4 linked regions of the Mus musculus genome follow. The protein of the gene in region 3 interacts with the protein of the main gene of each other region in a pairwise test. Links are inferred from orthologs where the notes say so. Each region holds a gene or a part of one and is shown on either strand. Other genes may lie near its edges.

Region 1 (6,189 bases), on a different chromosome or scaffold from region 3:
CTGAGACACACACACACACACACACACACACACACACACACACACGCACGCACTCTCTTACTTTAAAAACGAATCCTTTGTTAAAATGGATATTAGCCCGTGGTCTCTCCTGCTCCCCTAGCTTCACAGGAATGGGTGGAAGGAGAGTGTAAAACACAGTCCCCAGTGAGGAAAGTCCTGACAGCCTGAGGTGGAACCAGAAAACTTCCCTAAGATCTCTATTCACACCATGGTTCAAGTGGTTATTAGTACAAAATAATTACAATTTTGCAGAATACATGCTGGGCATAGTGGCACACAGTTTTAATCCCAGCACTTGGGAGGCAGTGCAGGGTTGGGGGGTGTGGATGTATGAGTTCGAGGTTAGCCGGTCTACAGAGTGAGTTCCAGGACTACTGAGAGAAACCCTGTCTCGAAAAACAAAAACAAATACAGTTGCCTGGATGTAGTCATACACACATTTAATACCAGCATTGGGGAGGCAGAAGTAGCTAGATTTCTGAGTTTGTGGCCAGCCTGGCTTATATAGGGTTCCAGGACAGCCAGGTTTGTTGGGACCCTGTCTCTAAATGAACAATCTGAGGTCATCAAATGGGAAAATAAGATTTCGAAGCTCCATTTAGATGCTAGCTGGATGGTAGATTTGGGGATGTGGCATAGAATCAGTCGGGATCCTTCCCAGAAGCCCCTCCAGGTTGATGTGGAGAGCCCACCGCTCACCCTTCTCTGTCCCTTTCCCCACTCCCCAGGTGGGTGATCTACAATGACCAGAAAGTGTGTGCCTCTGAAAAGCCACCCAAGGACCTGGGCTACATCTACTTCTACCAGAGAGTGGTCAGCTAAGAGCCTGCCCTCAGCCCTTCCACTTGAAGCAGGGGACAGACCATCTGGCATGAGGGACGGCTGAGGGATGGACTTCAGCCCCTGCTCTGTACCCTTTTTGTTTTTGTCCCCAGCAGTGGGAAGGAGCTGGAGGTCATAGGAGAATGGCCAAACAAAGAGGAGGGGTACTCATTAGACTCTGGGGACAGAGCAGGGATGGGACAGGAGGGGCCAACTGCCTGTCCACAGTGGGACCTTGTTGCTTCCTTCCCCTGCCCCTTGAATCCACAGTGCTCTGCTTCTCTGTGATGGCCCAACCCCTGATGTGGGGCGGGCTCTTACCTGTGTGTGTGTGTGGATGTGGCTTTATGCATCTTTCCAGGGGAGGGAGCGACTGCGCCTCCCCTCCCCTTAAGTGTTTGCTCCCTTGTGGTGGGGCAGAGGAGGCTCTGAGGGAAATAGGACCCTCCCCACACCCTTTGCCCTTCTGCCTCAGCCTCCGGTCTGTCTTTATGGTCCTCTGGAAAAATGCCAAAATACATGATGTGAATAAAAGTACGGGGGCTGACTGGTTTCAGTTCTTTGGGGGAGACTTACTAGTTCTGGGGAGGATTACTGGAAGGGGAAGGTTTAGAGAGGCCCAACTGGGGTCCTTTGCCGTCCCCCCCCCCCAGGCAATTTCCTTTTCTCTAGCTCTAGAAATGCTCAGAAAACTGAGGTGGGGGGATGGGAAATAAAGGGAAAATTCAGAAGCGAGGCTGCATCACCCCCCCCCCCCCAACTGACCATGCACTTGGTCTAGCCCCACTGTTGCTGGGCAAATGAAGGACCTAGGGCAGGGTGGGCAGTCCACACTGACTGATATCAGCTGACTCCTTTACACGGCTGCAGCCAGCCTGCCTCCCTCCCTGCCCCCCACACACTAGTGTCCCACTCTGCTCCATTTGGCCAAGGTCTGACAACTGCAAGGACCCCGTAATCACCAGCGACGTTGGTGACACACTTGGCCCCCTTCCTTGTGATTACTGGAAGGGCTCCTCAACCGTGACTTTGCTTTATGCTATGAGGGAATGGGGCGCTTTCGGAGTTGGAAAGGTGCCCTCAACCCCAGGGTCCAAGGCCCTGCTGCTGTCACCTCCACAGGAAATGCCCCTTGGTCTTCTGAAATCCCAAAAAGTTTGTTTCCCTGAGCGCGAGGTTCAACATCTCAACTGTCGAGCCACTGAGGCAGGACGTTTGAGCCCCCTGAACCCTCTAGAACATTGATTGCTCTAGAACGCCAGAACGTCGAAACACCGGGAGGTGGAGAGGCAGATGGAGGGGAAGGCGGAGCAGCAAGGGGCCGGGCTAACCATGGCGGAGGGCGGGGAGAAGGAGGAGTTCTGCTTCACAGCCATCTATATAAGTGGCCAGTGGAGAGAGCCGTGCGTTTGTACTGACCTTCAGAGACTTGAGCCTGGTACAATGGCGCCTACCAGGAAGTTCTTCGTTGGGGGCAACTGGAAGATGAACGGGAGGAAGAAGTGCCTGGGAGAACTCATCTGCACCCTGAACGCAGCCAACGTGCCGGCAGGCACCGGTGAGCTCTCTGTTTAGCAGGGGCGGCGGGACGTGGGGGTGGAGGGTCGGGCGTGGCACCACCTGCTCAGTGTCTGAGTGGACCTGGATGGTGGCCTGGGGACAAGAGCCATTTGGTGTCCCGGCAGCAGAGACTTGCTGAAGAGGAAAAGCATTTAAATGCTGCACTGGGTTTGTGGGGCCCGAAAGGGGTTCTTGGGGTTGGGGGCAGGGTGCAAAGAAGATCGCCCTTGGGAGTGGACCGGAGCTGCACCAGTTAGGGGTTAGGGTCGAGAAGAAGAACCAGTGTCGGGTTGGATAAGCAAGTGGCACGTGTCCCCCAGATTGTGAGGGAGGAAGCTGAGCTTGCGCGGGCTCTCAGCTACCTGCCCCCTCGGCCTCTGGCTCCGTGCGTCTCTGCACGTAGCCCGAAACTCCTCCCCGCGCCGTCGTATGCTTAGGCCTCTGAGCTGGGGGCTTCCACATCCCTATCCTTCACAGCATGGGCCACTCCTGCCTTCCACCTTAGGCCCCTAGCAGATGCCAAACATGCTGAGCCGTTGGGGAATTAAAAAAAAAAAAAATTCAGCTCTTCTCAGACTGGAAATAGGAAAACACAAGGTCTCTGTGGGCTAGTCAGTTCCCTGCTGCTCACGACACTACCCCTCCATCCTTCCCGCTTCTACCCACCTAAATCGGGGAACCTGGAGAATGGCCAAAGGGTATTCTCTCTGATCATCCATTTCCCGAAGAGCCCAATACAAACTCCCGCGGTGGACCTCTTATGCTAAAAAATCCTTCCCGGGATGGGTATGTGGGATGGGCTATTTTAGAAAGGGGTTACCCCTGGAGAATGCTGAGTCGAGGAGATGCCCATTCCCAGAATAGCCTGAGGAAATTAGAGCCACAGCTGTTAAAAGAGCAGAGGGCAGGGTAAGGGCCGTGGCCTATCAGAGGCATTGGGAAGGCTCTGGTATTGCTACAGGCCTAGCCTGGGCTCTGTAGTGGACAAAGGTCAACTTTCTGGACTGAAAAACGAAGGAAAGTAGAACCAAGAAAGTGAATGCAAGACCGGGAGCCTGAAGAGTGAGGGGCTTTCTCTGATCTCGTCCTCAGAGGTGGTTTGTGCACCGCCCACCGCTTACATCGACTTTGCCAGACAGAAGCTGGATCCCAAAATTGCTGTGGCCGCACAGAACTGCTACAAAGTGACCAATGGGGCCTTCACTGGGGAAATCAGGTGAGATGGAGGCAGAGAGGGATGTAGAGGGAAAACCTTCCTCGTGAGGGCTTCTTGCCGAACTTTGGTGTGTGTTTGTTTTAGCCCTGGCATGATCAAAGACTTAGGAGCCACCTGGGTCGTGCTGGGGCACTCAGAAAGAAGACATGTCTTTGGAGAATCAGATGAGGTCAGTAAACAGGAGGGGAGATAGGGGATGCTTTGATCCTGGGGGAGAGGGTATCTTACCTACCTAGCATTTGTTCTTCAACAGCTGATTGGCCAGAAAGTGAGCCACGCCCTAGCAGAGGGACTCGGGGTGATCGCCTGCATCGGGGAGAAGCTAGACGAAAGGGAAGCCGGCATCACCGAGAAGGTCGTGTTCGAGCAAACCAAGGTCATCGCAGGTATCTCTGCAGACACGGCTCTCTGAGTCTAGCAAAGGCCACAGGGATGGAGGCGGGAGGTCAAAGGTCCCACAGCCTGCCTGAGTCATACTGACCCCGGGGAAAGAGGGCGACCTGAATGGTTCTTGTCACTGTTCCTACAGAAGGCTCAAACCCCACCTTCAAAAGCTAGCAGGGTCTGTGGGTAAAGCCTGAGGCCCTGAGTTTGAGTCCTCCAAAGACAGCCACGTGGTAGGAAAGATCCAGCTTCTACAAGTTGTCCTCTGCCCTCATATGTGTGCTATAGCTTGTACACACGCACGCGCACACACGCACGCACAAGTTGTTTCTAAAAGGGGGAAGGAGAAGCCCACCAGGGGCTGTAGGCCATAACTGTTATAACAGGAGAGCTTGGCGGGTCAGCTCCTTCCTACTCACTCTCCTCTCTGCCCCACAGATAATGTGAAAGACTGGAGCAAGGTGGTCCTGGCCTATGAACCTGTGTGGGCCATTGGGACTGGCAAGACGGCAACCCCTCAGCAGGTAACTACCCAGAGCTCCTCAGCCTGTCCGGCTTTAACAGACTCACACAGCTATGGAGCCCATCCAAGCCCCTTTAGAGACAGAGGGCCCCCAAACTCACCAAGGAGAGTGACTTTGCCAAAAATGTTCATTCCAAGCCTGGTGGGATTGGAGCCTTGCCACTCTCTGGTCCCGGGGCTTTTCTGGAAACTCAACTCTATGTGAGAACCAGTGGTTTTTACTCCTTGAATGATAGATAGGAAGGAGCTTACTTAGTAGCTCTGCCTCCTCCTTCTAGGCACAGGAAGTACACGAGAAGCTCCGGGGATGGCTGAAATCCAATGTCAATGATGGGGTGGCTCAGAGCACCCGGATCATTTATGGAGGTGAGTGGCTTTGGCTCTAGCTAAGACGGAAATGGGCTAAGACAGACTGAGGCTGCCTTGCACAGAGAGGTGGGGCTTAAGTGTTCTGATCATAGACCTGACCAAACTGTCTTCTTGTTCCTGGTACAGGTTCTGTGACTGGAGCAACCTGCAAAGAGCTGGCAAGCCAGCCTGACGTGGACGGCTTCCTTGTGGGTGGCGCATCTCTCAAGCCTGAATTTGTGGACATCATCAATGCCAAACAATGAGCACTGCCCATCCCTCTACCTGCCTGCATAGCATGGACTAGGTTGCCCAGAAGTTTAGTAACTGCTCCCACCGGTCACATGCTTCTGATGACATCATCTGCCCCATCTTGTGGCCTAATCCACGCTGTACCCTCCTGAGCCGTTTCCACCGCCCTATTATGGTTGGGACCAGGCCAATCCCTTTACCACTTACAGTGGGTAGAATCAACTGTCACCAAGGTGGCTCCTAGTGAGGGGAGGGAGTAGAACTGACTGTCCCTTTGGGCCCTGACAAGTGAAATCACCTTCCATTGGTTTGGGCTGGAAACTCATGGTTGGAGCACAGGAAGTGGGCTTCGTGTCACTTTGGCCTGTCACTTAGATGGCCTTGGCTCTAGCTTCACTCCCAAGTTCTACTGGATGTCTGATGCAGAAATTCAGAGCTTTCGGGTCTGAATTCGGTATACATGAGACCCTAAGAGGCCTGGGATAGTCCCCTCCCCCACGGTGCCAAAGCCCCTGTATTGTGTTTGTGAACCATCCTACATGTAAGGGAAATAAACACCTGGGCCTGAGCTTTGTGGGTTGTCATAATTCCTTAAGACAGTGATGGGGCTCTAGCCTGGGGTGGGGGAGTGTAAAACAAAACAAAAAACAATAATGAAACAGGTTGTGACAATACATCTCATTTTTTACTTCAAAAACCTCTTTGTCCCAGGCTGCCATGGTGTTTAATATCATTTCTATATGTCTTGCTCCTGTGAGAAGGGGAGGTGAAGGGGTCCAGCCCCCCCCCCCCAGCTTCACCAGCTTTTTAAAGTTGTCTAGGCCAGCGGGTGCCTCTCCACCTGTCCCCACGGTAGGGTGCCAGCACACCCTGTACTACTGGGTCATTTGTAGAGCAGATAGCGCTTCATGGCAGGGGGCAAAGGCAGAGTGGATATTTGACCCAGCCGGGTGTCCCCCAGAGCATGGCGCACACACAGGCGGCTCAGGTGCAGAAGGGATTGTGGTTCCTCCACTGCGGAGAGAGAAGGAAGACAAGGTAAGTAAGCAACTCCAGGCATCCT
Region 2 (5,913 bases), about 4.7 Mb from region 3:
AAAAGAACCAAAATAAATTGTTCTCTTCCTTGAGAGTGCTGAGTACTGGTAGGACTCTGGGCTACCCCAGTCCCTCTCTGCATGAAGAAATGGCCCACTAAATGGACTGATGTAGAAACATTTAATCTCTTTTTATTTAGAACTGTCTCTCCTAGTGACTCATCCGGCTGAGATGGAAAGACGAACAGCCTGAAACTGACAAAAGTCAGGAACGTGGTTCCCAGAGGTCAAAACAGAAAATTCACTGAGTATTGCCATAAAATCTGATGATAGGAGATTTTACTTGGATTTCTTCCTCAAAAACATACCCAGGATAGGAGTAGAAAAATATAACCAAAAGATAAAACCTCAGAAATCTATGGAGAAAAATTCTCTTTGATACCTAGATTTCTTTCCTACTTTTTCCTTATCACTAGATACATTAAATTTAATACCTAAATAAGCCAACTTTAATAAAATATGCATCTATATTAATATGTACTTAATAAAACATGTATCTATGTCCAAAATAAACTGCATGAATGAATAGAACACACTATTCTATATGGTTATTTTCTGCTATACATAGCTTTACAAGACTTATATTCTGATATTACCAGGAACTATTACTAACTATTACAGACCAATCTTTAATCCTGTATATGTATTTCATCTTGTTATCTTTCTTTTGAAGTTAAGAAATGAGAAGGGAGAGGCTGTTCCCTATCCTCTGGGTTTTGCCTATTTCTCAATCTTCCTACAATCTGAATTCTAGCCACTGTTACATCCCACCAGGTAGATAAAAACAGGTACACAGCTGGAACTCAAATACTTGCTTAAGAAGTAGCTCCATTGCCTAAGTAAGCTTCCACAAAGACTGAAATGCACACAGCTGGAAGGAGAGTGAATGAATGTGCTTTTTAAAAGTGAAGGTGTTTCAGCCAGGCAGTGGAGTACACACCTTTAACCCCAGCAGTTATATATCTACACATCTGTCATCTAGGCTAGAGTGTGAGGTTCTCCTCAGAGCAGTTTTCCTTTGACTAAAATTTGTGCTCTTCATACAGGTTTCAATGTAAACTGTCATGTAAATGAATAACATAAGGGTGAAGCTAAAAGGTAGTCAAAAAAAAAAAAAAAAAAAAAAGATAAAACAAAAACAAAAGCACACTGCCACCAGGCATGGTGACGTGTGGCGGCAATCCTAGGGCTGATAGGGGAACAGGAAGTTGAGATTTCTAAGAGTAAGGCCGGTGTGGGCTACTGTGAGACTCTAAAACAACAAAAGATCACCACTGCCCAAAGCCCCCAAGTTCAACTTGAACAACGTGAGGGAAGCTGGGTAAGAACGGAGGGGAAAGTGCCAATCTCCTCTTAAAGTTCAACCTAGTCTAGCTGATGGCCAGGACAGTATTATGTAGCCATTTATTAAAAACGTGTTCCCAGTATCACAGCCTGTAGTGAAGAGGCTGTGGCCAAGAATCAACAGTTAATTCTATCCTAGCAGTTTCCTTCTGTGCCTGGTGACTTCCGGCTTAAGGGGTTACCTTAGTATTTGAAGGTCTGATGATGAAGTAGGTAAAGGAGACACCAGTTTGGTTCCTCCTGCTTTCCTGAGATACTGCAGTTGAGAAGCAGGGGGGAGGAGAGCCTCACTGACTTGTCACACACAGTGTAACAGTGCCAGTGTGGGTTACTATTCTCTGCTCAGATATCTGGGCATGTTGCCAACACCCAAAAAGGAATGGCTTCTCTCTTGCGGGGCATTAATGACCTTCCTGCGGTTACAGGCTGCTTTGAGAATGTATTGTTTAGTTGTAAAGCTTTAAGTTTTCCCTCTGTTATTCCCCAGAATAGCATTCTCTTTTTACTTTCTATTTGCACATTTTTCTGCAATATAAAAGACAAACAGTATCATTCAGATTCCTCTAGGTGTCCTTAGCTGATTCCCCTATGGACAATGACAGAGTTCCTTTTAAAAAGGATTTGAATTGTCAAAAAAAAAAAAAAAAGGACAGCTTTTTTTTTCTTTCTTTCTTTTTTTTTTTTTTTTTTTTTTCTTTTCTTTTTTTATGAGACAGGGTCTCCCTGTGCAGCCCTGGCTGGCCTGGAACTTAGTATGTAGTCCAAGCTGGTTTTGAAATCACAGAGCCTCCCAAGAGCTGGGATTTAGGACGTGTACCACCACGGTGACTGGAACTGACAGGTCTTTTCTAAAGCAGCAATTTGCTTGCATCCTCTTCCCAGGAGGCAAGATGGTTATGAATCATGTGAGACTGCAACATCACAGAACTCTTCTACCTGGAACAACTCATGTCTTCTGGCCCAGATGTGACCTTCTAAGGGTGAGGCCAGTTCCATCTAGTGAATAACAAACTCTACACTCTAACTAGGGGCCCTGGATCTCTCTGACCTTGGGAAATCAAGGACCATGACAGGCTGTTTTAAGATTAGATGAAACAATCCTTAAATGCCCCTTTAACTTCAGAATTTCAACACTCTGAATGACATGTAACAAAGCTATCAGATGTTACATGCTGATTCTGTGGACTTATTTCCTAAAGGGGATTATGAAGTGATTTGCCAAACACATAATACAATCCTGGTAAATGGGAAGAACAAGAGACCCTAGGTGCAAGCCTTATGACCTTGAGCAACTCGCATTCTGAGTCTCAACAAATTAAATTTTAGTATTTAAAGTGGGGTTTTGGATAAGATGATTGTAAAAAGGTTTTCATATAGGCCTAACAGCCTAAAGTCTGAAGTTCTTGGATAACTAGTGCCACTTTATTACTAAAATTATTAAGACAGAGACTGCTTAAGCCATAATTTAAATAACTACTTATGTGTCAAAATAACTAGGCAACAATGACTGGAAATTAGTAATTATTCCCTTAGGGTTTCTTATAGAGATTGAGGGAGTTTTTGTCCTTGTTTGAAAACATGTCTCCTTGGGTTCTGTGAAATTTCCAATTCATCCAAAAATTTTCAATTCATCTCACATTTCCCATCTTGATATTAAAGGACAACACGTATTTTTAAAATGTAAATTTCAAAGTACTTAGCAATTTCCAGTCTGGTGGCAAATGTCACCTTCAAACAGCATGAAGATTAGTCCTACGTCAGAGCTCTCTTTCACGTCACCCCCCTCCGCCCGCTGAGGACAAGATAGATCTAGAGCTTCAACAAGATGGTTACGTTACATCTGCAAGGAGGCCTTCAGAATTTATGACAGAGTAGTAAAGAATATCGGCACTGTTTGACTAGCGATGCTAGTCCTGTCATTACAAACGGAGATCAAGAATAGGTTTTCAGTAACATTTGTTTTCTTTTAAATCAAATATGGTGGAAACATGTCTCCTGAAAACTGGGATCATAACCTGGAGCACTACCGGTAAATCAACATCAGAGGCCTATTCTTTCCAAGAGCTTAAGAGGCAAAATAGTGTTAGGACCTAATTCTTCCCCTCCCATAATTCTCATCCCCCACAACAAATCCTTTAAGGTCCTTCGGAGAAAATTTTGTCCCTCCTGCGCAAGGACTGAGACCCGACTTTCCAAGGACAGTGATTTCTCTAGAGTCCTTGCGAACCCCTTTCCAGTATCTGGGTTACTGCGACAGTCGTGAGAATGAGTCAGATTTTGCAAACCGCGCGGAGGACAGCTCCCGGCATTACTGCTTTTTAAAAGCGCATCAAGCGCAGGAGGAGGCCGAGAGGCCGGAGCTGCTGCAGGTTCCAGGAGCCCACACTCACCATTATTGCAAACTGCAAGGCCGATCTCTGCACCTGCAAAAGGCAGTCTCCAGCAGTCAGGTCACCTCTACAGCGGAACAGACTCTGGGAGAGAACGCGGGGCTGGCCCGCAAAGGTTCGGCTGGAGACACGGCCCTTTCTGGGAAGTGTAGTTCTTCCGGCGACCTCTGGCGCCCACCTTCGTGCATTCCTGACAGTGCTAAACTACAATTCCCCCAAACCCCTTCTTCCTACGCGCCTCGCTGCAAAGTAGTCCCGGGGCTGAGCCTCGGTGATTGGAGCGCGTCTGTGAGCAGAGGGTTGGTGCTTTGAGTGAGGCGCCTGCCTGATGGCGCTCAGCAATTGGCAGGAGAGGAGGCGTTAACTCGAGGGAGGAGAAACGACCCCTGAGCGACAGCACACGTCGCTCCACCGAGAATCTATCCTCCCCCAAGACTAAACAAGGGCGGCTAAGAGACCTTCCGTTGCTTAAAGCCCGCTCGACCCGGAAACAAAACCTTTTAAAAACTCTCTCAGAGGCGGGAGGAATTGACGCTTGCGGAAGAACGGGCAGCTTCACCGTTGCTAGGCGACGAGGCAGCCTCACCTGAGCGCTCTCCAGACCAAGAGCTTGTGGAGCTGTGTTCTCACGTCCCAGGCTGGTGAGCTCGGCCCCGAGGGTTTTTATCTGGGGGTCAGAACAGGGTGCGGCACTGATGCGCGTATCCTGAATCCGAAGCCGGTGGTTGTGGGCGACCTCCGGAGTCCCCTGTTAGTGTCAGGAGCGTGTGGATGCCACAGTTTTCAGGAGGGACGAAGAGTGTCTTGCAGTTTGAGTCAGTGTAACTTTTCCAAAGTAAAGTCAGAAAGTTTTGTTTGTGGAGTGAGCCCCTTCCTTGTGTTTACTTGTGGTGTACCGATCTAATTTTCTTTGCCGACTGTGAATATTGACACTTTTTGCTCATTCTCTTTTTGGAAACCTGTTACTTCCAGGGGAAGTTGGGAGACACTGATTGTTTCAGGCGAAATGTTAGCAGCTAAAACATCTCAAGAGGCTTTCATTTAAAATGAAAGTTGTTAAGGGAAATCTGTATTCTCCGTTTGTTGTACGGATATTCGAAAACATGTGCCTTGGAACAGACCAATGAATATGCTCTTGGTCTAACGTCAGAATTTTCTGTCACTATTAAATGGATGGTGGATGGCTTCAGTTTTGTTTTTGGAAGATTTAGTATTTGGAGAGAGAAATATGATGCCTTAGTCAGGGCTTCTATTTCTGCGATGAAACACCATGACCAAAAGCAGGTTAGGGGAAAGGATTTATTTGGCCTACTCTTCCACATTTTGGCCCATCATTCGAGGAACTCAGAATAAGTAGGAATATGGAGGGCATGAGCTGTTGCAGAGACCATGGAGGAGTGCTGCTTATTGGTTTGTTCCTCATGGCTTGCTAAGTCTGCTTCTTTATAGAACCCAGGACCACCAGCCCAGAGATGGCAGCACCCATAAAGGACTGGGCTCTTCCCCATCAATCTGTAATTAAGAAAATGCCCTATGGGCTTGTCTACAGCCCGATCTTTATGGTGGAAGCATTTTTCTTTTCAATTGAGAATTCCTCTTAACTTAAGACTGACTGTAGCTTGTGTCTGGTTGACATAAAACTAGCCACTTCTGGGTCCAATAGCATTTAGGTTTCAATAGACTGTAGGGTACTTGAATGACTCCTAGAATCACTTTATTCATTTGATGCCTTAATTTTGTTCTTGAGCACTGATCTTTTTATAATGGAATGCTTCCTGTGTCTCTGTCCACATTTAGTTCATTTGTGGGTTGCATTTCTAAATGTTACCTCTGTGTCAGGGACTCTCAAATTCCAGGGCATGTCTCTGTAGTTTCTGTTTCTTCTTGGTTTTCTAATAGGCATTAGTTCTGTTACTTTATAGTACTTCCTACTGAACAACCATATGTGCAAATATCACACTCTAGAGATAGCATGACTTGCCTCCAGTTTCACTTGATGGTTGAGGGAGAGATTACAGGATTTTCAAGTGAAGAGAGAAGGGCTGGAGCTGATTTGATAGTGATTGTTCTAATCTGCTCTGGGACTTTAGGATAGCAGTTTTAGTTACTGCCTTTCAGGAACCACTGTAGCATGAAACAAAACTCTGTAATTCCTAATGGTAACATGGTGGTCTGGTGA
Region 3 (5,472 bases):
AAATTGTTCTGTGAGATAAGATTGCCCGAAGAGGGCTACAGAACTAAGCAGAGTGGTCTCTACAAGCCTAATGGAGGTGGTAAGTAAGCAGCACCACAAAAAAGTGAAGGCGAGAAAAGTAAATGTGCTTCCCAGAAAGAAATTCTCAACATCTGTGCTGGTCAACATGTTGATCGTCAGTTCTCAGGATGATTAATGGCTGAATAGAAACCCTTTGCAGCTGCAACTTGATATTGACCAACTATAAAAATACAAATATTTAGCAATTACAAAGATTTCCAGACAGTAGTATGCCAGCTATTAACTAAGGTTTTAGGTGATTAGCCAAGTGACTCACAGAATTAGAATGTTCGCTTCCTGTGTCATGTTCTGCACCACTTCATGGCTTGGAGGAAAGGAGTGTTCATTTACCAGACTCAACATAACATCCTAAATATCTAGTGATGATTGCCCCACACAGTCAGTCAAGACTGAATGTAGCAAGGTGCATAAGTGTACATTGAGCGGATCTGGTTAGAGAGAAGCCTAATCAGGTGGCACCTCCGAAACCCTAAATTCATTAGCTTTGTCATTTGTGTGGCTGTGACAAGTCAGTAAGTAACCTCTGTCTCAGCTTCCACAGCTGAAGTACAAGCAAAAGCAGCCCAAGGCTCACCATTTTTTCTTTTGTGCAGGAGTCCTTTAATTTAGCTTACAAAGCATCCAACCCAACTATGAATACAAAGTTTCCAAGCTGTTCCTCATTTCTAGGACATTCTTTAGGACCTTGAGAGAGTTGTCAGTTGCGTGTTATTTGTTACTTTTATTGAAATGCACATTTAACTACTTGATTTTTATTTCAGGCCCCAAATGTGATCCAAGCTGTCCCAATGGAAGCTGCTGGGGAGGAGGAGAGGAGAACTGCCAGAAATGTAAGTCAGTGCAGCATCAGGGCCTGAGAAACATGCCCTGGTGAGGGAGTCCACACAGTATGTGGTCCTCCACTCCTCCGCTTTGTGACTGAACAAGTACAGGAGCTTGGCAAAAGACTCAGAGTTAACCACTTCATGAGCATCAGTCTTGGAAACATCACAGTGCACAACTATCTAAGGCTTACTACGTGGGATAATTTAACCTGTCATTAAATGCAAGAAAGCCAACCACCCAAGTGTCCATGGTGACACACAGGATGCCTTGTCCCCTGATCCAATCCTCCCCGTTTTCCAGAGCCAACTAATATAGAAGTTTGACGGTGTTGCTCCACAGAGTTCATGTGTGAATCCTACTAACTTAAAAAACAAAGTTTAATTTACTTCAGCATGGTTACTGCTTCACTCAAAGAACCTGGGCGTGTGTCAGCTTCAAAATTGACTGTAGTTCATTGCCTTTGTGACCTAACTATCTCGTTCCTTTAAACACTGCCTCCTGCCAGGAGCTCTTCTTGCTATGTGCCTTCTGTATTGCCAGAAATTCCCTAGATAATATCTACTTATTCAAAAGATCTGATCAGACTTGTTTCGATTATTTCTCCCAAGTGATTTGAGATAAATGATAAAAATGTACCAAGGGGAAAGTTGTGATTATATTGTTTGGCTGACTGTGAAAGCCTAGAAGCTGCTCCCTGTCACAAAACCCATGGTTCCTCCTTTATTTCTTTCTACTGGGTGCAAGCATTCCTTGGTGTCTCTAGAAGATGAGCTGCCACTTAAACACAGCTCACTGGTAATCTTTCTTTTTCAGTGACCAAAATCATCTGTGCCCAGCAATGTTCCCATCGCTGTCGTGGCAGGTCCCCCAGTGACTGCTGCCACAACCAATGTGCTGCGGGGTGTACAGGGCCCCGAGAGAGTGACTGTCTGGTAAGACTCTGGCTACTGGGGAGTTGTGCTGCAGAGCTGTGCACGTGCTCGACATCTGACTGTGACAGCAGCCTTCATGTGGTGCACATTTTAATTAAGTGTTGTCATGGACAACAGTAGCAACATTATGAGAAATGAAGGGAGCTCTTCTTCTGTAAGACCCCCTGAGAACCATCCCAGTTACCCAGACCTTTGGGCAGTATGGCATGTGCACACCATATTTTCATGCCTCTTGGGCTGCTCCCCTCCTAATCCTACCCCATCCCACAGTGTCTCCCCTCAGACCCTCTACCTCTGGTGAAAGCTCTAGTGTTAACTTTGCAGCTGTCAGGGGTTAGTGAATGTGATTCCTGGGGTCCTTGCCAACCCAAGCAAACTCCATTAGGCTCCAGAAAAGGAAGTCCACCTAAAGGTAGAGTCTAGAGTATTCTATCATTCTGGAACAGAAGATTCTTAAATTCTATAAACTAAACCTAGCTCCAGGCATCTTTTTTTTTTTTCACCTGGGTAGTCTGGTCTGATTCAAATGGGCAGCCCGGGGATAAAACTACAAATGGAGTTCTTAGAAAGATCCAACAGCTCTCTACATGGAATCTTCTTGCTAAGATTTCTGCAGTTTGTCCATAAATTATAAAATATATTCTTATAGTGTTCTTTATGAAAGAAACCCAGTAAAAACTGAGTTTAAAAATAGTTACAGCATACTTTCCAATATCATGTGTAGATTTCATTATTACCTTTTTTTTAACCACAAACCCTAGGCTGTATCAATTGAGACAGTCAGTATACTTAAAAATGTATACTTAGTACTCATAAGAGGAAGGTGTTTCTGACTATCCTGGAAAGGCTTACTAGACATTTTTCCTCTCTAATTGAGCATGTAAAACACCGAAAACTGTCACTGTCCCACTGACCTGCAGGCTGCCTGGCACTGGGTTCCTTTCATTTGGATGCCACATCCTTGACCAGACATGTTGTCCCTCCTATGACAGGTCTGCCAAAAGTTCCAAGATGAGGCCACATGCAAAGACACCTGCCCACCACTCATGCTGTACAACCCCACCACCTATCAGATGGATGTCAACCCTGAAGGGAAGTACAGCTTTGGTGCCACCTGTGTGAAGAAGTGCCCCCGTGAGTTTGCCCTTTCACCCAACAGTCCTCATTTCCTCTTCTGTCTTATGCTAGAGTCCTGGGCAGTTTGGAGGCAGCCACTGTGCTTGCCTTGTTGTCCTGTAGGCTAGTGTCTGCCTGGACAGGTGCAAGGATGAGAACCCCACTCAGTGCTGAGCAATGGAGGCAGAGGCAGCCTGCAGCAGTCAGGATGCCTTCCTTTAAAGGGTGGCTTGACCTGCACTGATCCAGTGTTGCTGGCAGCCAGACTGTATAGTACAAACCACCTATCGCTTCACCCCAAGTCAGAGAGGAAGCTTCAGTAACCTGGAGTGTCTTGGAGCTGACTAACACAAGGTCGTGACCCTCTGGGACAACCTTTGTTTGACTCTGCATTGTTTGACTCTGCATTAAACAGACCTAAATTAGAAAAGGCAGCAGACCCACCCCCTTGAGGAGAAGAATTTAGGGCTATGGCTGGGCTCTTGGAGTATTTTGGTTTTGGGTTTGCTTTGATTTACTCATTTGGGTTCAAGTTTTATTCATGTATGATGGTACTCTATGGTACCTATAGGAAAATGGCAACATAGATCGGTCCCAAACAGAGAAAGTGAAACAACTCATAAAGAGCCTTAAAACCAATCTTGACTTCTAGAAAGTAAATTAAGACAAAAAAAAATGTAAAGTGGAAACTATAAGGGTGAGATTTTGCCTACCTAGATTTAGGTGATTGAAGTCCCATTAGAAAACACACACAGAGAGGGGAGGGGAGGAAGAGGGAGAGGGAGAGAGAGGGGGAGGGAGAGGGGGAGGGAGAGGGGGAGGAAGAGGGAGAGCTAGAGAATAAGGTAAATGGAAAACTAAGATGAAGAAAAACTCATGACAGTCATGCCATAGATAGAATCTTTGTGTGAAGGCTTAGTAACAGATCTTTAAACTCTGCAGGAAACAAAACCTATGATGACAAGAGCATATGACTCACAGATATAGTACCAATGCCCACATTTTGAGCATGTATTTCAGAAACTCAAAATAGGAGCATAGAGTTTCTAGTAATACTGTAATCATAAATATTAATTAGGTTAGACTACATAAAGGTGAAGGGAGTGGAGAGAAAGATTGGGGCGCCTGTCTAGGAAGCAGAACAAACTGGTCCCCTCGTTGTCCCACCAAGAACTGCATGGTGGATGGGTGGGGAAGGGCAAAGCTGGTATCAAACAGAAGAAACTGTAGTTACCTCAATGGGACATGGTCTGTCTGATAAGCATTAGTGTGTGTGTACTACATATCTTAGGTTTCCTTGTATATTCTAAGCATAGACCTGTCAGAGGAAATTCATATTCAGCAAGGGGCTTTCAGCCAGTGAACACGCATGGTGGTGTTTCCTCTCATAGCTGTTTTGCACCTGAGATCAAGTATCTGTGTTTGTCCACATTACTGTCAGAAAAGCCATTAGACTAGAGCTTGGTTCCTCTTCTACTTGAAATCTGTCAGTCTTTCTCCTCAAAGAGAAGTCAACCAAACTAAGAGGGACCTTTTTAGCAGCCCATACACAGCAGGACATGAGGATGTTTGTGGAAGGTTAGGAGCACCTGCTGTAGCCTTCAACACCTTCTTTTCATTGCCTCTTCCTCAGGAAACTACGTGGTGACAGATCATGGCTCATGTGTCCGAGCCTGTGGGCCTGACTACTACGAAGTGGAAGAAGATGGCATCCGCAAGTGTAAAAAATGTGATGGGCCCTGTCGCAAAGGTAAGCAGTAGGGTTTTTTTCTTGATCTTTGTGCCGAACTCTTATGGCCACCTCCAAATAAACCCACCTTTTAATCTTTTTTTAAAAAAATATATTTATTTTGTCTGGAAAGTAGAAGGTAAACTTGCAAAGCCAAATTGCATGGTGGAGGTGGGGGAGTTCTCTTGAACCAGGTACAGAGGCGCCACCTGCAGCCCAGGTGGGTGAACTGTTGTAGCCAGAGAGAGGCGGAGCCAATGTCTTTGTGAGTGACTAGATTCAGTACAGCCAGAACATTCAAATCTGACAGAGGTCTGTGACAAGGACAGCCCAAGTGCCACTCCAGTGACTGAAGGGAACAGCGAAGCCTGTCACAGGAGTCCTGGCACCTGGAGGGTCCCCTCAGGGTTGTTGGGATGAATCAATAGTGCACGGTAGCAGGGTTCTTGCTTCCGCTTGTGCAGACCCAGCCTTCTTAATTCACATTCTTAATTCACATCTCTCTTAACAGTTTGTAATGGCATAGGCATTGGTGAATTTAAAGACACACTCTCCATAAATGCTACAAACATCAAACACTTCAAATACTGCACTGCCATCAGCGGGGACCTTCACATCCTGCCAGTGGCCTTTAAGGGGTGAGTAACAGCTGAGCCATCTGGATGAAGAACTGTAGAATCTGCTTTAAGCCACGGAGAGTGTCCAATAATCACGTTGCTGTCTGTTTCAGGGATTCTTTCACGCGCACTCCTCCTCTAGACCCACGAGAACTAGAAATTCTAAAAACCG
Region 4 (6,173 bases), on a different chromosome or scaffold from region 3:
CCAGGCCTCTGCGCCTCAGGCATGGCTCAGCACCACAATCACCCACCATGCAAGTGAGTGAGGTGCCTCCCTCAACTCCTGCCAACCCTAAAAGATGGTGGGGATGGGGCCCAAGGATGTTTTAAAACACATTCTTCACAGGATCCTGAAGCAACTAGCCCAGTAACTGGCGTTAAAGACTATGGATGGATGCCAGATGTGGTGGCACGCCCCTTCCATCCCAGCCCTTGGGAGGCAGAGGCAGGTGGATCTCTGAGTTCGAGGCCAGCCTGGTCTACAGAGTGAGTTCCAGGACAGCCAGGGCTACACAGAGAAACCCTGTATCATTAAACAAACTAACAAAGGAAGAAAGAAAGAAAGAAAGAAAGAAAGAAAGAAAGAAAGAAAGAAAGAAAGAAGAAAGAAAGAAAGAAAGAAAGAAAGAAAGAAAGAAAGGGAAAGAGAGAGAGAGAAAGAAAGAAAGAGAGAGAGAGAGAGAGAGAGAGAAAGGGAAAGAGAGAGAAAAAAAGGACAAAAACCATGGGCTGTGCTTTTACAAGTCAAGATCTGGACACGTGTAAAAGTCTTACATAGGTACACAATCCCTAAAACCTGTCTATAGGCACTATATACCCGACACAGAGCCATAACTTACAAAGGTGCACATGACACAGAAGACACACATCTGTGCCACATGTGTGCATACCCCCAAACACCCACCAGAGCCAGCACATGGATCACAGATTGCCACAGAACCACCACATCGACACACACACAGCCCTGGGCAAACACAGACACCCACCACACACCCAGTGCATACGCACATATCACACGGAGGCTCACACTAAACAGATGCTAGCCTGAATTTATTTTGCCTCTGGGAACAGGTCCAGAACTAAAGGAGCCATGCTCTGCTGATGAAAACATCCCTCCTGCCTCTACCACCCCCACCCCTTGCCCCAGGCAGCTGGCTCGTGGTCCACAGCCCCTTGAATGACTGGAGGAGGGTAGAAGAGAGAAAGATGGGATAAGGTGAGGCAGAGGCTGAGAGTGGTATTCTAATCTGCTTGGAGACACCCCCCAAATCCAGCCCAGTTCTCTTCCCTTGCCCACCAGGAGACATCATGGGGCCCGGAGTCAGTGCTTGGTCAGGCCAGTTGACTGGATTCTCAGGCCCTGGTCCTACAGAGCAAAAGGCTTAGGGAGTAGCTAGATGTGGGGGCTCCCAGTACGTGGGGCCACTAAGGAAAGGGCTGTCTGGAGTGCCTTCCTGCAGCCCTAAGGCCTGAGGCCCCCATGGAATGTTACCACAGAAACAGGGAAAATATTATAAGGAATACAATACCCGGCAGAGTCACCTGCTCACCAGGCTTCCTGCTGCGCTACCCACCCCCCAGCTCATGGCACTTAGAGCCTTCCCTAGCCTCAACCTGGGCCTCCCCGCCAGAGCTCTCCTTCCTGTCTCCCCTGGATTAGGGAAGCTGCTTCAAGCGAAAGCTCTGCCCTTCTGTGGTTCCAAACAACATCAGGGATGGTGCACTGGGCCCCTCACTCCTGGTCCCTACCCACCCCCCAACACAGGAAATCAAGGCTTCCTGCCCCAGAGGAAGTGCCCCATCTAGTGAACAAATCCAACATATACAAACTCAAAGTCCTGGAGCTGGCGCCTCCAAGGGGACCTGCCTTCAAGCCCTGCAATACCCCATACTCTCCTGCAGCCTCCAGACCACATCTAACCAAGGAAGAGCTCAGAATAGATGCTGGCAGAGGCCGGTCTGGTTGGTGCCATTCCTTGGCTAGGTGACTCTGGGCCTTACATTATTAGCTCACCTTTCTCTGGGGGCTCCTGTCAACGTTGAAACGACCAGTTCTTAAAGAAAGGCAAAGAGCAAAGAAGGCCAAGAAAGAAGTGTGCCTACAGCTATAAAAAGGTCCTCATTTCCAATCCCATCACAACTGAGCCACTAGGAACTAGATAGGTGAGAACCATTATCCCTGAGACAAGGACACAGGAGGCTCTGCCTGTTCCCTTACTCCCCGTGGATTACTGACTGGCTATGTGCGGTTGGTCCCTCTAGCTCTGAGCTTTGGAAAGTGAACTGAGAATCCTCCCCACCCACCCACCTTATCATGTTAATTTTGAGAAAAGCCTGCTTAAGTAAGGTGACCTGCTTAGAAGAGAAACCTTCTTTGCCTCAAAGCTCAGCATATGCCCTTGAGACACAGAAAAATGCCCCAGCTAAGGGGCCAAACTGAGCAGCAGGGGGCTCAGATGCACCCTGTACCTAGCTTTTCCAACGCACAGCTCTGAGGGTCTAGCTTGGAAAGGACATCATAAAACTAAAGACAGAGACACAAGCCTCAGCCCCATTGGGTTCAGGACTTGGTCCAATCTCAGTTATCTGGGTACCATACACTGGAACTGCTTTGTGCCTCATTTCCCCCCCAGGAATCACTGTAAAGAAGAAAAGTACTTAGTTACTGAGGGGAGACGTGAGGCTGCAGAGAGCAAGGAGGTTAAGAGTGAAGGATGATTTGCGGCGGATGGAGAAGAGGCTCGGAAGGTTGGCACAGAGGGGAGGCACGACCGCAGCCCATGGGGGTCCTCTTGGGAAGAAATGGGTCACCTAAGTACAAGTTAGAGGATAGAAACCAACCAAAGTGACAGTCTGCAATGGAATTTGAGCAAATCTAGGTAAAAGTCTGGAGGACTAGCTCCTGATTCCAGATGTTGCACTCCCTCCAGGGCCACCGAGGGCCAATGTCCTATTATCACCCTGAAACTTTGGCAGGCAGAACTGGGCCTCAAGCAGATGCTGCGTTGGGATGTGGGAAGGGATACTTAGCAGCAAGCCAACCCCGCCAGATGATGCAGGATGCTTTGGGGGAGTGCTGGACAGCCAGCAAGGATAGTTCAGGGAACCAATGGTCAGCCCTAAGTCGGCCCCAAACCGGCAGCCAGTGAGAAATAAGTGGGACTCATTAAGCGACCTGCATGCAGGACTTAGGTTTTTCTTCCAACTCAATTGGCGGAGAAATCGCAGTGGCGAAAAGACAGTTCAGTTGCCAGATTTGCCCGGGTTCTCATACTTCTCAGTACTATCAGACTGGGGGTGGGTGGGGGTGGGGGGGCTAGATCCAGCTCCCCACCTCCCTACCTCTCTCAGTACTCAGCCTGCGGCCCCCACTTCCCCACGCCTTTAACTGTCCTCACTGCTAGGCTGAACACAGTGTCTGTCTCTCTATGATGGGTGATCAAGGATAAGGGGTGATGCTCAGAGAAATCTCCCAGCCCAGTACCCCTCCAGGGGACGTTTCCCTCAGCTACAGGATCTGAGTAGGGCCCTGCCCAGTTCTACAAGACAGGGGCGCTGATGTCCAGCCCTGCAAGTTCTGCGCCAGTTCAGTGGGTCCTAGCCTTTGCCCTCCCGCTTCCAAACCTTTGGTCCCGGAGCACCGCCCCCTCCCGGGCCTCGGCGGCCGGCCGTGCCTCCCGGATCCCGGGGAGGAGGGTGACGGGACGCCCGGCCCTTGCACAGGCGGCCCCGGGCCTCCCACTGCCTCCCCGGGGCCTGTCGCTGCCCGGGAGCGGGCGGATGTGGGCGCCCCGCAGGAGGCCGGAGCCCTTCGGCCCCGGAACCAGCCGGGGCAGCGAGCGGGCCAGAGCCCGGGCGAGCGGGCGCGGTCCAGGGCGCGCGGAGGACCCGGCCAGCCGGACCGGCCGGAGACCCAGCCGCAGCCGGAGCGGGAGCCGGGGCGAGCAGCGCAGGGTGCCGCGCGCAGGGCGGGGCGGACGGGGAGGGGGTGGCCGCCCGGTACTCACCCGCGCCGGGGCTGTGCATCCAGGGGCCGGGGCCCTCAGAGCCGGGGGCTCATGGCGGGCGGGGGGCCGGGGCGCCGGCCTCACATCCCCCCGGTCGCCGGAGGCTGCAGAGCGACTGTGAGACGGCGAGAGGAAGGGAGGGGGCCGGGAGGGGGAGGGCCCTGGCAGCCTGGCCGGCCGGGTAGGATGACAATGGAAGGAAATGCTTTATCTGAGTCTGAGAGCGGGCCAAGGGGGAGGGGAGGGAGGGGGCCGGCGCTGGCGGCCCTGGGACACACCACCCGGGCTTCGCTCAGCAGCACACAGCCTGGCGGCAGACACCGATCGCGGCGGGGCGCGGCTCACCGCCCGGGAGGCAGCGCCGAACCCGGAACGCGGGACGCGGCCGGACCCGCGCGCGGCCGCGGAAGCCCCAGCCGCCGCGCGGCGCTGCGCCCCGCGCACAATTCCCGGAAACCCAGATACCTGAGTGCACGCACCCGTGCATACACAGCGTACACGGGCGTGCATCCATGTTTACACAAGCCAGGGTGCTTTACGCTTCGGGGAAGGACTCCTGTGCACACATCTACACACTTAAGTCAACGAGGGCAGCGCTACACACAGGGAGAGCAGGGCACGCTTGGAGTCTCGAGCAAGGAATCCCAGACGGACACCCCTGCCCCATCCTAACACACACACACCACACACACACACACACACACACACACACACACACACACGACTCTCCTCAGGAACACTTCAGGATCTGATTTGAACCACTGCCAGTCCAACCCCAGTGGCACCCCCCGCCCCCACTGTCTGCTGAGGGGAGCAGAAGGGTCCAGTCTGTTCCTATTAAAAGAAAAAAAAAAGGGGATGGGGGGTGGTGCAGTTTTCGAAACTTAAAAAAAATTTTTCTCAAGGGATTTCCTTCCATCCTCTCCTCTTCCTCTTCCATTCCTCTCCCTCCACAATGACCCTCCTTTGCCCCCCCACTCCTGGACCCTATGAGTCAAACTTCAGCAATGTGCCCAGTGTCCCCCAGTGCATTACAGCGGATCACAGAAATGTTCCAGTCTGTGAGTCGGAATGCAGCCGCCTCCAGCCCTCCCTCAGCTAATAAACTCAGCTGAGGACTGGCTTTGCACTGAAGCCCTCCCTGCCTCTCCCCCATCTTAGACGGGAGGAGGTCAGATTCAAGGGTCAGGGGCCGAGGACCTTCCCACTGAGTTTCCTGGCTTGGCCTGTCAGTCCTGTTGCCTCCAGCAATTTGGCAGGTCAGAAAACTGGGAAGGGAGAGCGGTCATTCACCAGGAACACTATGCTCCCCTGCCCTTGAGGTGCCCGCCACTGAAAGGCAGCTTCCTTCTGGTCCCAATCTACTCTCTGAGTCCTCGGAACTCCAAGAACCTTTAGAAGGGGAAAATGAGGCAGACCTAGAGATGTGATATCTTGGAAGCCAGAGTCTTGAGTGGCCTAGAGGGACGTTGGCCATGTTGCTAGGTCACACACAGGTCTAGACTCATGTGCCCTTGTTCAGCTGCTAAGTGTAACTCCTCTGTACCTGTTAATGGGTACTACAACCTTGCCCTAGCATCCATGGCCTCTTGCAATGTGGCACCACACACATCCCTGCCCAGTGTCTCCTGGTACTTTGCTCAGAGGTAGTTACCGTTATTACTACCACAGCCAGCCCTGTCAGCTAGCTGTTCATGTCCCCATACTTACCCACTTCCTTGCCTTGGCCTAAGACACTCCCTACAGAGTAAATGCCGCTCTACCTTTCTCCCTTCTGTTGTTGAAATCCCTTCATCTCCTCTGAAATGTTTCACGATTTCTGTAGCCTCAGCCGGAAGGATTTTCTTTCCCTTGAAGGACTCCACCCCAGCACTGATTTTCTCCCAGCCGCACTGACCCTCAGCTGTCTAGTCTATGAGTCTGAATCTCTTCTTTATCACAAGTGTTCAAGGTACCTAGCTTGGAAGCACTGCCTCAGCGTGGCTTCCGAGTTCTTCATTGACTCATGAATATTCATGACCTTCCAAGATCTCCCTCCAGCTAGACATCTCTAATAGACCCTCTGTCGGAAGTTGTCCATTCTGGCTCTGCTAGACACTTCCTCATCCACTGAGCTGTCTTTCCAAACCAGAGCACTCTACTTCCAACGACTTCCGTGAGGGTTACAGACTTCAGGGGAAAAAAGAAACCTGTGTACAGAGGACCCCCAATCTCTCTTGTTATCTCTCTCCTCCTGTAACCGTACATTGCCCCCACATCTTCCTTTCCTAAAGCTGTTTCTGTGCTGAATTTCTTGTTCGTTAATTTCTACTGGCGCAGCATCCGTGCATCTGCTCCTGAAGCTACCTCTTCTCTTCAGTCTAACCACTGA

The links.
Region 1: the proteins of Egfr (region 3) and Tpi1 interact in a protein complementation assay, tested with the Homo sapiens proteins (2 studies listed by BioGRID and IntAct). The link is inferred for Mus musculus from reciprocal best matches to the Homo sapiens genes EGFR and TPI1.
Region 2: the proteins of Egfr (region 3) and Mdh1 interact in a protein complementation assay, tested with the Homo sapiens proteins (2 studies listed by BioGRID and IntAct). The link is inferred for Mus musculus from reciprocal best matches to the Homo sapiens genes EGFR and MDH1.
Region 4: the proteins of Egfr (region 3) and Hdac7 interact in binary tests that used the Homo sapiens proteins (3 or more experiments, as listed by UniProt). The link is inferred for Mus musculus from reciprocal best matches to the Homo sapiens genes EGFR and HDAC7.

Annotation. Positions count from the first base shown.
Region 1 is NC_000072.6:124,810,220-124,816,408, reverse strand, and holds Tpi1 (triosephosphate isomerase), read left to right. Parts: upstream 1-2,250; 5' UTR 2,251-2,286; coding exon 2,287-2,401; intron 2,402-3,495; coding exon 3,496-3,619; intron 3,620-3,703; coding exon 3,704-3,788; intron 3,789-3,872; coding exon 3,873-4,005; intron 4,006-4,441; coding exon 4,442-4,527; intron 4,528-4,804; coding exon 4,805-4,892; intron 4,893-5,021; coding exon 5,022-5,140; 3' UTR 5,141-5,823; downstream 5,824-6,189. Other genes in the region: Usp5 (ubiquitin carboxyl-terminal hydrolase 5), read left to right, coding at 750-843; Spsb2 (SPRY domain-containing SOCS box protein 2), read right to left, coding at 6,010-6,140. UniProt on the Homo sapiens protein: Triosephosphate isomerase is an extremely efficient metabolic enzyme that catalyzes the interconversion between dihydroxyacetone phosphate (DHAP) and D-glyceraldehyde-3-phosphate (G3P) in glycolysis and gluconeogenesis.
Region 2 is NC_000077.6:21,567,996-21,573,908, forward strand, and holds the start of Mdh1 (malate dehydrogenase, cytoplasmic), read right to left. Parts: upstream 3,940-5,913; 5' UTR 3,738-3,939; coding exon 3,735-3,737; intron 1-3,734. UniProt on the Homo sapiens protein: Catalyzes the reduction of aromatic alpha-keto acids in the presence of NADH. Plays essential roles in the malate-aspartate shuttle and the tricarboxylic acid cycle, important in mitochondrial NADH supply for oxidative phosphorylation.
Region 3 is NC_000077.6:16,866,389-16,871,860, forward strand, and holds part of Egfr (epidermal growth factor receptor isoform 1 precursor), read left to right. Parts: intron 1-842; coding exon 843-911; intron 912-1,719; coding exon 1,720-1,838; intron 1,839-2,830; coding exon 2,831-2,972; intron 2,973-4,587; coding exon 4,588-4,704; intron 4,705-5,194; coding exon 5,195-5,321; intron 5,322-5,413; coding exon 5,414-5,472. UniProt on the Homo sapiens protein: Receptor tyrosine kinase binding ligands of the EGF family and activating several signaling cascades to convert extracellular cues into appropriate cellular responses.
Region 4 is NC_000081.6:97,827,557-97,833,729, forward strand, and holds the start of Hdac7 (histone deacetylase 7), read right to left. Parts: upstream 3,940-6,173; 5' UTR 3,822-3,939; coding exon 3,803-3,821; intron 3,750-3,802; exon of another isoform or gene 3,130-3,749; intron 1-3,129. UniProt on the Homo sapiens protein: Responsible for the deacetylation of lysine residues on the N-terminal part of the core histones (H2A, H2B, H3 and H4).